Callithrix jacchus: one gene and its partners. The protein of the gene in region 3 interacts with the protein of the main gene of each other region in a biochemical or structural test. Links are inferred from orthologs where the notes say so. Each region holds a gene or a part of one and is shown on either strand. Other genes may lie near its edges.

Region 1 (3,655 bases), on a different chromosome or scaffold from region 3:
TTATTCTGGTATCCACTGGGGAAAGACTTATCCCATTGGATATCAGTCATTATAAAGAATTTAGTAATAGGAGGCATTTTTACTTATATTTCATAGTGTAACTTATTGTCTTTAATTTTTAAAAATATTTTGTTTCTGAATTGACAATAGAAATTCGTGTTTCAAAATAGAGAAAAGCATGAGGAAGAAAATGTTCCCATGGATAAAACCCCTTATAATAACACTGTGTCATCAGCATTCATTGTGGCCTTGAAGTTTCCTGCAAAAAATGAGCTTTAATGCCTACAAAGTCTTTTTTGTTTTTTGCTTTTTGTTTTTTTGAGATGGAGTCTTGTTCTGTTATCCAGGCTGGAGTGCAGTGGTGCGATCTCGGCTCATTGCAACCTCCACCTCCCAGGTCCTCAGCCTCCCAATTAGCTGGGACTATAGGTGCATGGCACCACACCTGGCTAATTTTTGTATTTTTAGTAGAGATGGGGTTTTGCCATGTTGGCTAGGCTATTCTTGAACTCCTGACCTCAGGTGATCTGCCCACCTCAGCCTCCCAAAGTGCTGGGATTACAGGTGTGAGCTACCGCCAAAGGCTTCTGTAGCGTGGTTCATCAGCCCCTGGTTCCTGAATATTTGGCTCTTTCTAGTTTCTTGTGAAAAGGTTGCATGGAATATTATTGTATAGTAGTTACTGTACAGATGCATGTCCAATTATTTGTTTAGGATAAATATCTAGAGCTGAAATTACTGGGTCAAGATACCTTCTAAAAAGATACCAATTTTTATTAGTGAACACACGTCTATTTCCTGTGTTCTTGCTGAAGTTTATTTTTAGTGTTGTACAATTATTACAACTTGGCCTACCTTTCTCTTTTTTTTTAGGAAAATCTCTGAAGGAAATGGAGACACCACTGTCAGCACTTGGAATACAAGACGGTTGCCGGGTCATGTTAATTGGGAAAAAGGTAAATTGCTTTTTCCATCAGAAATCCTCAGAATCAAATGACTAAAGTCTTTTATACATGTTTCTGTTTAGAAGACCAAATTTGGGACCCAGATTCTGCATTGATAAAACACCTCTCTAAACAAATACAACCTTTATTTCTTTTATAGGATTACCAATTTTGTTCTCATACCCTCCTGCTCCTGTTGGTTAGACCTTTTGCTCTAGAAATTAGGAGCAATTGTGCTGCCTTAAATATGTTTTTTGTTTTGGTGGTGGAATCTCGGACTGGTTAAAATGGTGCCTGGGAGAGGCCTCATTCGCTTGGAGTAGAATTTGCAAGATACCTTTTGTTAAAATAAACTTGTAGATATTAAGAATAATTACTCTGTGACAATTCAGGAGCCTCTTTCCCTTTAACCAACCTTTTAACTAAAATCTCCCACAAGGAAAAACCTTTGACTGGAAAGAGAGGTTCAGATTAAAGAACTGAGGGGAAAAAAAGAGTCAGTTGGTTACAGATGAAGTCAGCAACCCTTAAGGTGATGAGAGAGGGCTGGCACATTGTGACATAGCAGAATTATTGAGCATATGAAGTTCCCTTATTTTGAGTGAGATAACTGAGTAGAGAGAGGGCAGAGATTAGTAAAGTGAAAACAAAGAAAATCTAGACTTAGAACTGCCAGGAGACTGGAACTCAGGACTTAGCTACAATGAGGAAAGAATAATTTGGGATACTGTAACTAAACAGACAGCTGCTAGACCTAGCTACCAATTGTTCGCGTGAGAGAAGGGGGAAATATTTTAAATTTCTTGTTTTAGGGTCAGGAAGAATGGTGATGGGCAATAGGCAGAACTGAAGGGTCAAGTTTGAAGAAACTATAGGACTTTTACTTGGAACTGACAAAGAGGGTATGGAGTGAAGTGTGAACTCAGGGAGGGCACCATGGCACATGTCTATGGTCCAGCAACTCGGGAGTCTGAGACAGGAGGGTCACCTGAGTCCAGGGCTTTGAGGCTGCAGTGAGCTATGATCATGCCTTTAAATAGCCACTGCACTCCAACCTGGGTACCAGACTAAGACCCTATCTCAAAAAAAAAAAAAAGTCTAAACTTAAGTCTACTCTACCTCTTTTGGACTGTGTGATACCATCTTTACTGCATTAAGCCTCAGTTTCACCATCTGTAAAACAGCAGTACCTCCCTGATAGGGTTGTGGTAAGGCTTAAAAAAAGTAGTATGGTAATATGCTTAGGATAGTGTGTGTCATGTAGGGAGTATTCAGTAAAAGTATTCATCATTGTTAACCAACATCATATTAAAGAGGAGAGCTCAATTGGAGCCTGCCGTTTAGGAATTCCATTTAAAGGAATAGTAGAATTCTGCCTGTCTTGCCATTCTGGACTCCTCACAAGTGTTCACTGAAATGTGTTTGCTCTCCAGGCTTCAGTCCCGGTTGTTGATCAGACTAGGACTGAGACTAAATCTGGCATTTGGATTGTCTCCATTCTCAGCACCCAAGCTGTCAGGGCCCTCACCAGAATGTTTACCTAATACCTTCTCTCTTGGAGTCTTTGTAGATGGAAAACTTGATCTATTACCCTTTGACTTGCTTTCCAAGAAGCAACAGAGTTCAAACCATTCTTTCTAGGTGAGTGGTTTCATGCAGTTGTGGTCAGATATTTTTCCTGACAGAGGCTAGTATTCTTGTTGATTGCTTTTTCTTTTTCTTTTCTTTTTTTTTTTTCTTTCTTTCTTTTTTCTCTTTTTGAGACAGAATCTTGCTCTATTGCCCAGGCTGGAGTGGAGGTTCGTGATCTTGGCTCACTACAACTTCCACCTCCCAGGTTCAAGCCGTTCTCCTGCCTCCGCCTCCCAAGTAGCTGGGACTACAGGTGCACACCACCACGTCCAGCTAATTTTTGTATTTTTTAGTGGAGATGGTGTTTCACCATGTTGGCCAGGCTGGTCTCGAATTCCTGACCTCAAATGATCTGCACACAAAGTCTCACCTGTTCTTGTTGACTGTTGACTTTATTTTCTTCTTAAACATTTTAGAACAGTCCAGAGGAAGAAGCTGAACTAAAGAAGTTGAAACATTGGGAGAAGTCTGTGGAGAAGATAGCTGACCAGCTGGAAGAGTTGAGTAAAGAGCTTACTGGAATCCAGCAGGTAACTCTCTTCATGGACCTTGACTTTGTGCCTTCTGTCAGAGCTTCCTAGATATACCTTATAGTTATGGGGACAGGCTCTGCCGTCAGACTCCCTAGGTTCAGATCCTGGATCCGCCCTTTCTCTTACTGTGAACAAGTTTATCTTTGTCTCAAGTTCCTCATCTGTGAAAATGGAATAATAGTGGCATTTCCCTCTTAGGATTGTTGGGGGGATTAAATATTGTAGATTGAGCTTGATACATACTAAGTGCTTTATAAGCATTTATTGTCATAGTTATTGCCAAACCCCAGCCAGCATCCATCTGTGCTCACAGGAGAGCACCTGGCATGCTAGGATTATATATTGTCTAAAGTAGAACAAGTAGCTTCTCCCTGTCTGGGCTGTTGTAGTCTGTTTGGCAAGGCAAAGAACATTTTGCTGATTCATAGAAGGTCCAAGTTGAACATGATAGTGGGGTTGGGAGAGTCATCCTATTCAATTCTTTATATTAGAGATGGGGTACTAAAACCCAGCACAGATTAGGACTAGCTCAAGACCACATATTTC
Region 2 (3,755 bases), on a different chromosome or scaffold from region 3:
AATGGCGCAATCCCGGCTCACCGCAACCTCCCCCTTCTGGGCTCAAGCAATTCTCCTGCCTCAGCCTCCCGAGTAGCTGGGACTACAGGCACACGCCACCATGCCCAGCTAATTTTTGTATTTTTAGTAGAGACGGGGTTTCACCATGTTGACCAGGATGGTCTTGATCTCTTGACCTCGTGATCCACCCGCCTCGGCCTCCCAAAGTGCTGGGATTATAGGCGTGAGCCACTGCCTCCAGCCCGAGAATTCTCTTCTTGAGTTGATCATGTCCCATCATCAAAATCCAAGCAATCACAGCACAGAGGTCAGTGACCCAATAACTTGGTGGCCAGGAGGGCACAAAGGTAATCAAGTATTTTAGCCTGCATGCTTCACGGTTTCACAAAACATTCACTTCCACCTTCTGAACAGACACACTGCCTCTTATGAGGACTCTCCTGACATCAGTACTCTCCCTGCTATCGGTACTAGCTGGGTGACCTTCAAAAATCACACCTGAACTCTCCAGGTTTTTTCAGAAAATAAAGAAGCCTACCTAAAAGATCTTCAAGGACCTTTCAACTTTAACATTTTCACTGTGAAATTTTCAAATAAACCTTTCCAGCATCAGACTTCTGATTTAGTAGTTCTTACTTTCTATTTGTTGAGAAGAATAATGGTAACTAAACCTGCTTTTTTCCTTTTAAGGTTTAGGAAACCACAGCCTAACCCAGGCACCAGGTGGGTACAGGAAGATCTCAACTTGCTGGGTAAGTTTCATGCTGAGAACAAAGTACTGACAATGTTTACATTCAAACTTAATCTTCACTCATAACAAAGGCTGCCAGCAAATGCTACTGTCCCTATGTCTACAGGAAGAAGCCCTCAAAATAATAGTTGTAAACCACACTAAAGATCATGTACATCCACGCAGACTGCTAAGAAAGGGGGTTTGAAATGAGCGTCAGTTTCACCCAAAAATGGGTTGGACACCCAAAAAGGTATATTTAACTGTGCCCATCCCAGCTAATTACAGCCTCTTATATTAATTTTCAAGAATAAATATACAATTAATCTCTCGTAAATGTAAACTGCTGACTGTACACCATCTCACTGTTGGGAACCAGAGTTTTGTCAATATTGTTAAAACAGAACGTGTATAAAAATGAAGGGAAATAATATGGGTCTTTCTTCTAAAATCATGAGATACAAAGCATTTTTAATTTGCTGAGTTTTTAAATCTTCAAAATAATTTATCACCTCTTTTGCTGCTTCTATCTTGCCCAGACAGCAGTCACAATTACGTTTTAAGTATAACATAATTATTTTTAAAACCTTTTTATTTTGAAAGCTCAAATTTACAGAAAATGGAAAGAATAGTATAAGTATGATTTTTGAAAATTAACAGACTCATTCCAAACTTATGTTTTCAAATTTCATGCTCTTGGGGATTAAAAAGTATATATCCTTGCATATATGTAAATGAGACATACTTCTGCTATATTCACAAGAGTATCATTACTCAGTTATTTGTGTACTGGTAACAAATCCTAAGTATTTTAATACCATAACAAGGCAGGAAGCGAATGCCATTATAAACATACACATTATCGTTCTCTTTCTCTCCAGGGTGAGGCAATGTGGTAATGCAATGGCCAACTGTAAGACAGTCTCCCGTCTAGTTTAGAAACTGCTGGGGAGAAATGCACCCCGTTTTTAATTTTACAAGTGATAATAGGATACATACAGATCCAAAGCACTTTCAAACAATAATACAATTTTAATTTGACACACACACACACACACAGGCATAAATGTTTTGACACCAGCTTCCTGAGTCATTGGGTGCCTCAGATGGGACAGTAGTGAAGACATCCCTCAACCAAGTTAGGGAACTTGAGAGGTAAAAATCCCCCAAAACCACCATCCAAGCTTGTGTCTCCCTCGCGTTCGTGGACAGCGGGGTGCGCCGCGGGTCCCGGGCCCGGAGGCCAAGCGGGCAGCAGGGACTGCGGCCTCCGGAGCCGACCAAGCCGGCTGCCCTCCTCCAAGCTCGGGAGGGCTAGGCCAGCGCCGGACACCCGGCCCTCCGTCCTGGAGTCGAGCCGCGGACGGCACAGGGGCCACTGCGGGGACGGTTCCCGGGCCACCGGATCCCGGGGCCTCCTTTGGCCCGGACGCCTGTCAAGGGCGGGTCGGGAGCAGGGACTCGTCCGGGAGCCGCGGGAATGTGTGGCTGGGCGCGGAGCCGGTGTCCGCCTGAGAGGGGCCTTCGCCGACCCCCGGGCCCCGCTTCTCGCGTCCCACCCGCCCGGCCCCCTTCCCGCCGCCCGCCGTCGAGGTGGCGCCATCGACCAGGGCGGGCCGCGGGCCCGGCTCACCTTGGGGCCCTCGGGGGGCACGCGCGGGTCGTTCCACGTCGTGGTGCGGCTGTTGTGGTCCACGAAGAAGGGCCAGCCGGTCTGCGGGTCGATCTTGATCTCCCAGCCGGGGGGCAGGGGGTCGCGGTCACCGTTGCCGGACGCCACCTGCATCATGGGCGAGTGGGTGGCGGCGCTCATGCTGGGTAGGGGTTGGGGTCGGCCCGGAGCGGGGGCCGCCGGGGCGCGGGTGCGGAACGCGGGCTCCGGGCGCCGAGTCTCTGGCCTGGCCGCCGCCGCGGGCCCCTCTCCGCCGCCGACGTGTCCGGGAAGCCGGCGCCGGGCACCTTTATGAATTAAAGGCGGGGGTGACGTGGCCTGAGAGGGGTGGAAGTGTCTGGAAATAGCCTCCTCGCTGCTAGAGGAGAAGGAGGAGATAAAGGGAGGTAGCAACTGGCCGGCTAGAAACTTCTAGTCCCGTCCAGAGAAGTTGGCCGCGGCCCGGGGTTGGATGCGGAGCTCCGCCCTGAGTCATCGGCTATAATCGCGGCGGGCGGGGGCGGGGCCTCGGCCCTCTCGTTCGTCCCCGACCTCCCCGCCCTCCCCCGCCTCCCTCCGCCCCTCCCCGAGCCTCCTAGTGCGCGTGCCCCGGCCGGAGTGGCCGCGGGCGCGCCTTCGGGGCCTGACTGCGGATGGGACGCCGGACGCACTGAGTTGGGGTCGTCCTCCGTGCGCCCTGGGCGGGTTTCGGCTTTCACACTCCCTCCCTCCCTCTCCTTAGCGCCTAGTGAGTTTTCCCTGGGCCGGAGCCGGTCCTCCCCGTGCCTGCCGCCCCTCCTTTCTGTACAAACAAAGCCATCTCACCCACCCCATCCCCTCCCCCATATATGACAGCCCGGGACACTGAGGGCTGCCTGGGAGGAGCGCGGGGACGCTCATCTGACACTAGCAGGAAGGCAGGGAGAAAATGGAAGTCAGTGCAAACTCACTTGCCTTTCTTTGGAAACTTCAAGGAAAAAAAGATTGTGTCAGCTGATGGTTTTTAGTCTCCCAGACTAAAAAGAAAGTTTCGTTGTAGTAAACAGCTTTACAGAAAAATCACATTCTCTTGGGTTTGGATCTTTTTTATAGTAGAGGTTGGTTCTTGCTATCCTACATCTTGACCCTCATTTGGGAAGTAAAGACCTAACCTAACCGTGACATTTTTTCGCTTGGTTCATTGAATGGAGGTTGCACTTGTAACCTGCCAAAGGAGAAAATGACAACATTTTTAATTTAAAGATCTTTTTGTTTGTTTTTATTTGTTAACTTTTATTGTTAGTTTAAAGATCTTAACTGATTTTGTGATTCTAGAATTGGGCAACACCTCCATTAAATTAGAATAAGTGTTCCTAAAAGCCGAGCAGAAGAGGT
Region 3 (2,355 bases):
CTCCACCTCCCAGGTTCAAGCAGTTCTCTGCCTCAGCCTCCTGAGTAACTGGGATTACAGGCACACACCACCACGCCCAGCTAATTTTGTATTTTCAGTAGATGTGGTGTTTCACCATGTTGGCCAGGCTGGTCTGGAACTCCTGACCTCGTGGTCCACCCACCTCGGCTGGGACTCTGTGCCTTTATGCCAAAGACAGCCAGGGAGGTTCTGGTTCAGCCAGGAGCATGGAGTCAGATGGACAGGATTGTTAGGGGACCCAGCCCTTCCCCAGGACCTGTCCTCCATGGAGTCAGACACCCACATAGGAATGCAGACAGAGGGGTACACCCCATTACCTCTGGAGACCAAGGCCAAGAGGCACCTGTAGGACTCAGGACAGAGGCCCTTCCCAGCCTACCTCCCTCCATCATGAGGCACGCACACAACTCAGGGTGCAGAGAGGAAGGTGTGCGATCAGAATAAACGGTTCCCTCCTCTATGCTAGCCCTCAGCTCTCCCTGCAAGAGGAGACCAGTGTCTGCCACGTCTGTGGGTGTCCTGTGGAATATTTTCCCTGTGCATACACGTGGAACTCTACAGTGTCTTTTACACACATGGTAACTCAATACACACTGCACTGCAAGCTGCTTTCAAAAAAATGCATTTATTATATCTTGGAGAACATTCCAGACCAGCGCAGTTAGCACTGCCTGCCTCTGACAGGCTGCAGAGTACCGTATTGTTGTACATGCAGGAATTTTATGACTTCCCTCCTGATAGAGGTTCGGGTTGCTTCCTGTTTGGGGCCATATTCTAAGAGATGCTTGTTCTTAGAATCAACATCCTTGTTCTGTATCCCTGGGCCCCTTTATAAATAGTTAGGAACGAATACTTAAGTGGACCTGCTGGGTCAGAGGGTATGTGCATTTGAAACTTGGGTAGATAAGGCCAAAATGCCCTCCAAGGGGTAGCCCCAACTTCCAACTACCCCCTTGTTAATCCATCCTCCATTCAGCAAAGTGATTTGTAAAGATGATTACATGTAATAATCCTGCTTAAAACTGCCAGGAGCTTCAGTGGGGACCCACACTTGCAATTCTGTGCGAACAGGGCCATGCTTCCTCCCCTCCTTCAAGGCTTCAGCCACGCCAGGCTTTCCTGTCCCTCCCACACAGTGGCTTGATCCTACAACAGGGCCTTTGCACGTGCAAGGTCCTTGCACCTAGTGCCCTCAGTTTTCAGTCTCATATTGTACCTCCTGGTGCAGGGTGCAAGCCTCCCAGCCTCAGTTAAATGTAGCAGCCCGAGGCCAAGCCCCCAGGTCCCCCACTGGGTGGTCCAGCTGGCTGCTCTACTATTGTGCTTGGGTGCTTATTGTCAACTCCTCCTGTGAGCTCCTAGAAGTAGAGATTCGGCCAGGCACAGTGGCTCACACTTGTAATCCCAACACTTTGGGAGGCCGAGACGGGAGGATCATCTGAAGTCAAGAGTTCGAGACCAGCCTGGCTAACATGGTAAAAATTAGCCAGGTGTGGTGGCACGTGCCTGTAGTCCCAGTTACTCGGGAAGCTGAGGCAGACAGGAGAATCGCTCGAACCTGGGAGGCAGAGGTTGCCGTGAGCTGAGACCATGGTGTCATTGCAATCCAGCCTGGGTGACAGAGCAAGACTGTGTCTCAAAAACAAAAACAAACATGCAAAAAAACCCCACAAAGATTCTTGTCTGTGTGTCCAGTGACAGTGCCTGACACTTAGTAGGTATTCAAGAAGGAGTTGCTGGCCGGTTAATCTCTGCCAATCCGAGGGTGGTAAGTGACATTTTACTGCTGTCTTCAAGTCTTCAGGTCTGTTTCCTTGCTGTCTGGTGAGGTCAAGCATTGATGTTTAAGGGTCTGTTTCTTTGTAATTCAATTGCTGCCCATGCCCTTAACCTGTTTGCCTTTTGGGTTTTCTATTTCTTATTGAGTTTATGTTCTCTCTAATAAAGGTAAGTGAGCTCTTGGTCTCTCATTTGTGTTGCAAATATTTTTTTCTTCCTCAATCGATACTTTCAAGCTTTGGACTAATTTTTCCATGTAAGTTTCAGTTTCATGGAGTCGAGTTCATTAGTCATTTCCTGTATGATTTTTTTTAAGAGTTGGGTCTTGCTGTGTCACCCAGGCTAGAAAGCTGGTGTGATCATAGCTCACTGCAACCTCCAGCTCCCGAGCTCCGTGGATCCTCCTGCCTTGGCTCCTGGGTAGCTGGGACTGGAGGCCCATACGATTTCTAAGTGTGGTGTGAAGAGATCCCTTCCCCTGGCTCTGTGAGGCCCGGGGCTGGGCTTTTCCTGGAGTAGGAGAGGGCGAGTTTGGTGCCTACAAAGCAGTGTGGC

What was found.
Region 1: the proteins of LRRK1 (region 3) and BAG1 form a complex in vitro, tested with the Homo sapiens proteins (2 studies listed by BioGRID and IntAct, with this or other methods). The link is inferred for Callithrix jacchus from reciprocal best matches to the Homo sapiens genes LRRK1 and BAG1.
Region 2: the proteins of LRRK1 (region 3) and BAG3 form a complex in vitro, tested with the Homo sapiens proteins (2 studies listed by BioGRID and IntAct, with this or other methods). The link is inferred for Callithrix jacchus from reciprocal best matches to the Homo sapiens genes LRRK1 and BAG3.

The regions. Positions count from the first base shown.
Region 1 is NC_133502.1:140,449,954-140,453,608, reverse strand, and holds part of BAG1 (BAG family molecular chaperone regulator 1), read left to right. Parts: intron 1-873; coding exon 874-956; intron 957-2,992; coding exon 2,993-3,106; intron 3,107-3,655. UniProt on the Homo sapiens protein: Co-chaperone for HSP70 and HSC70 chaperone proteins. Acts as a nucleotide-exchange factor (NEF) promoting the release of ADP from the HSP70 and HSC70 proteins thereby triggering client/substrate protein release.
Region 2 is NC_133513.1:113,172,114-113,175,868, forward strand, and holds the start of BAG3 (BAG family molecular chaperone regulator 3), read right to left. Parts: upstream 2,858-3,755; 5' UTR 2,544-2,857; coding exon 2,364-2,543; intron 2,292-2,363; exon of another isoform or gene 1-2,291. UniProt on the Homo sapiens protein: Co-chaperone and adapter protein that connects different classes of molecular chaperones including heat shock proteins 70 (HSP70s), e.g. HSPA1A/HSP70 or HSPA8/HSC70, and small heat shock proteins (sHSPs), e.g. HSPB8.
Region 3 is NC_133507.1:8,916,924-8,919,278, forward strand, and holds the end of LRRK1 (leucine-rich repeat serine/threonine-protein kinase 1), read right to left. Parts: exon of another isoform or gene 2,152-2,355; intron 1,843-2,151; coding exon 1,380-1,842; 3' UTR 628-1,379; downstream 1-627.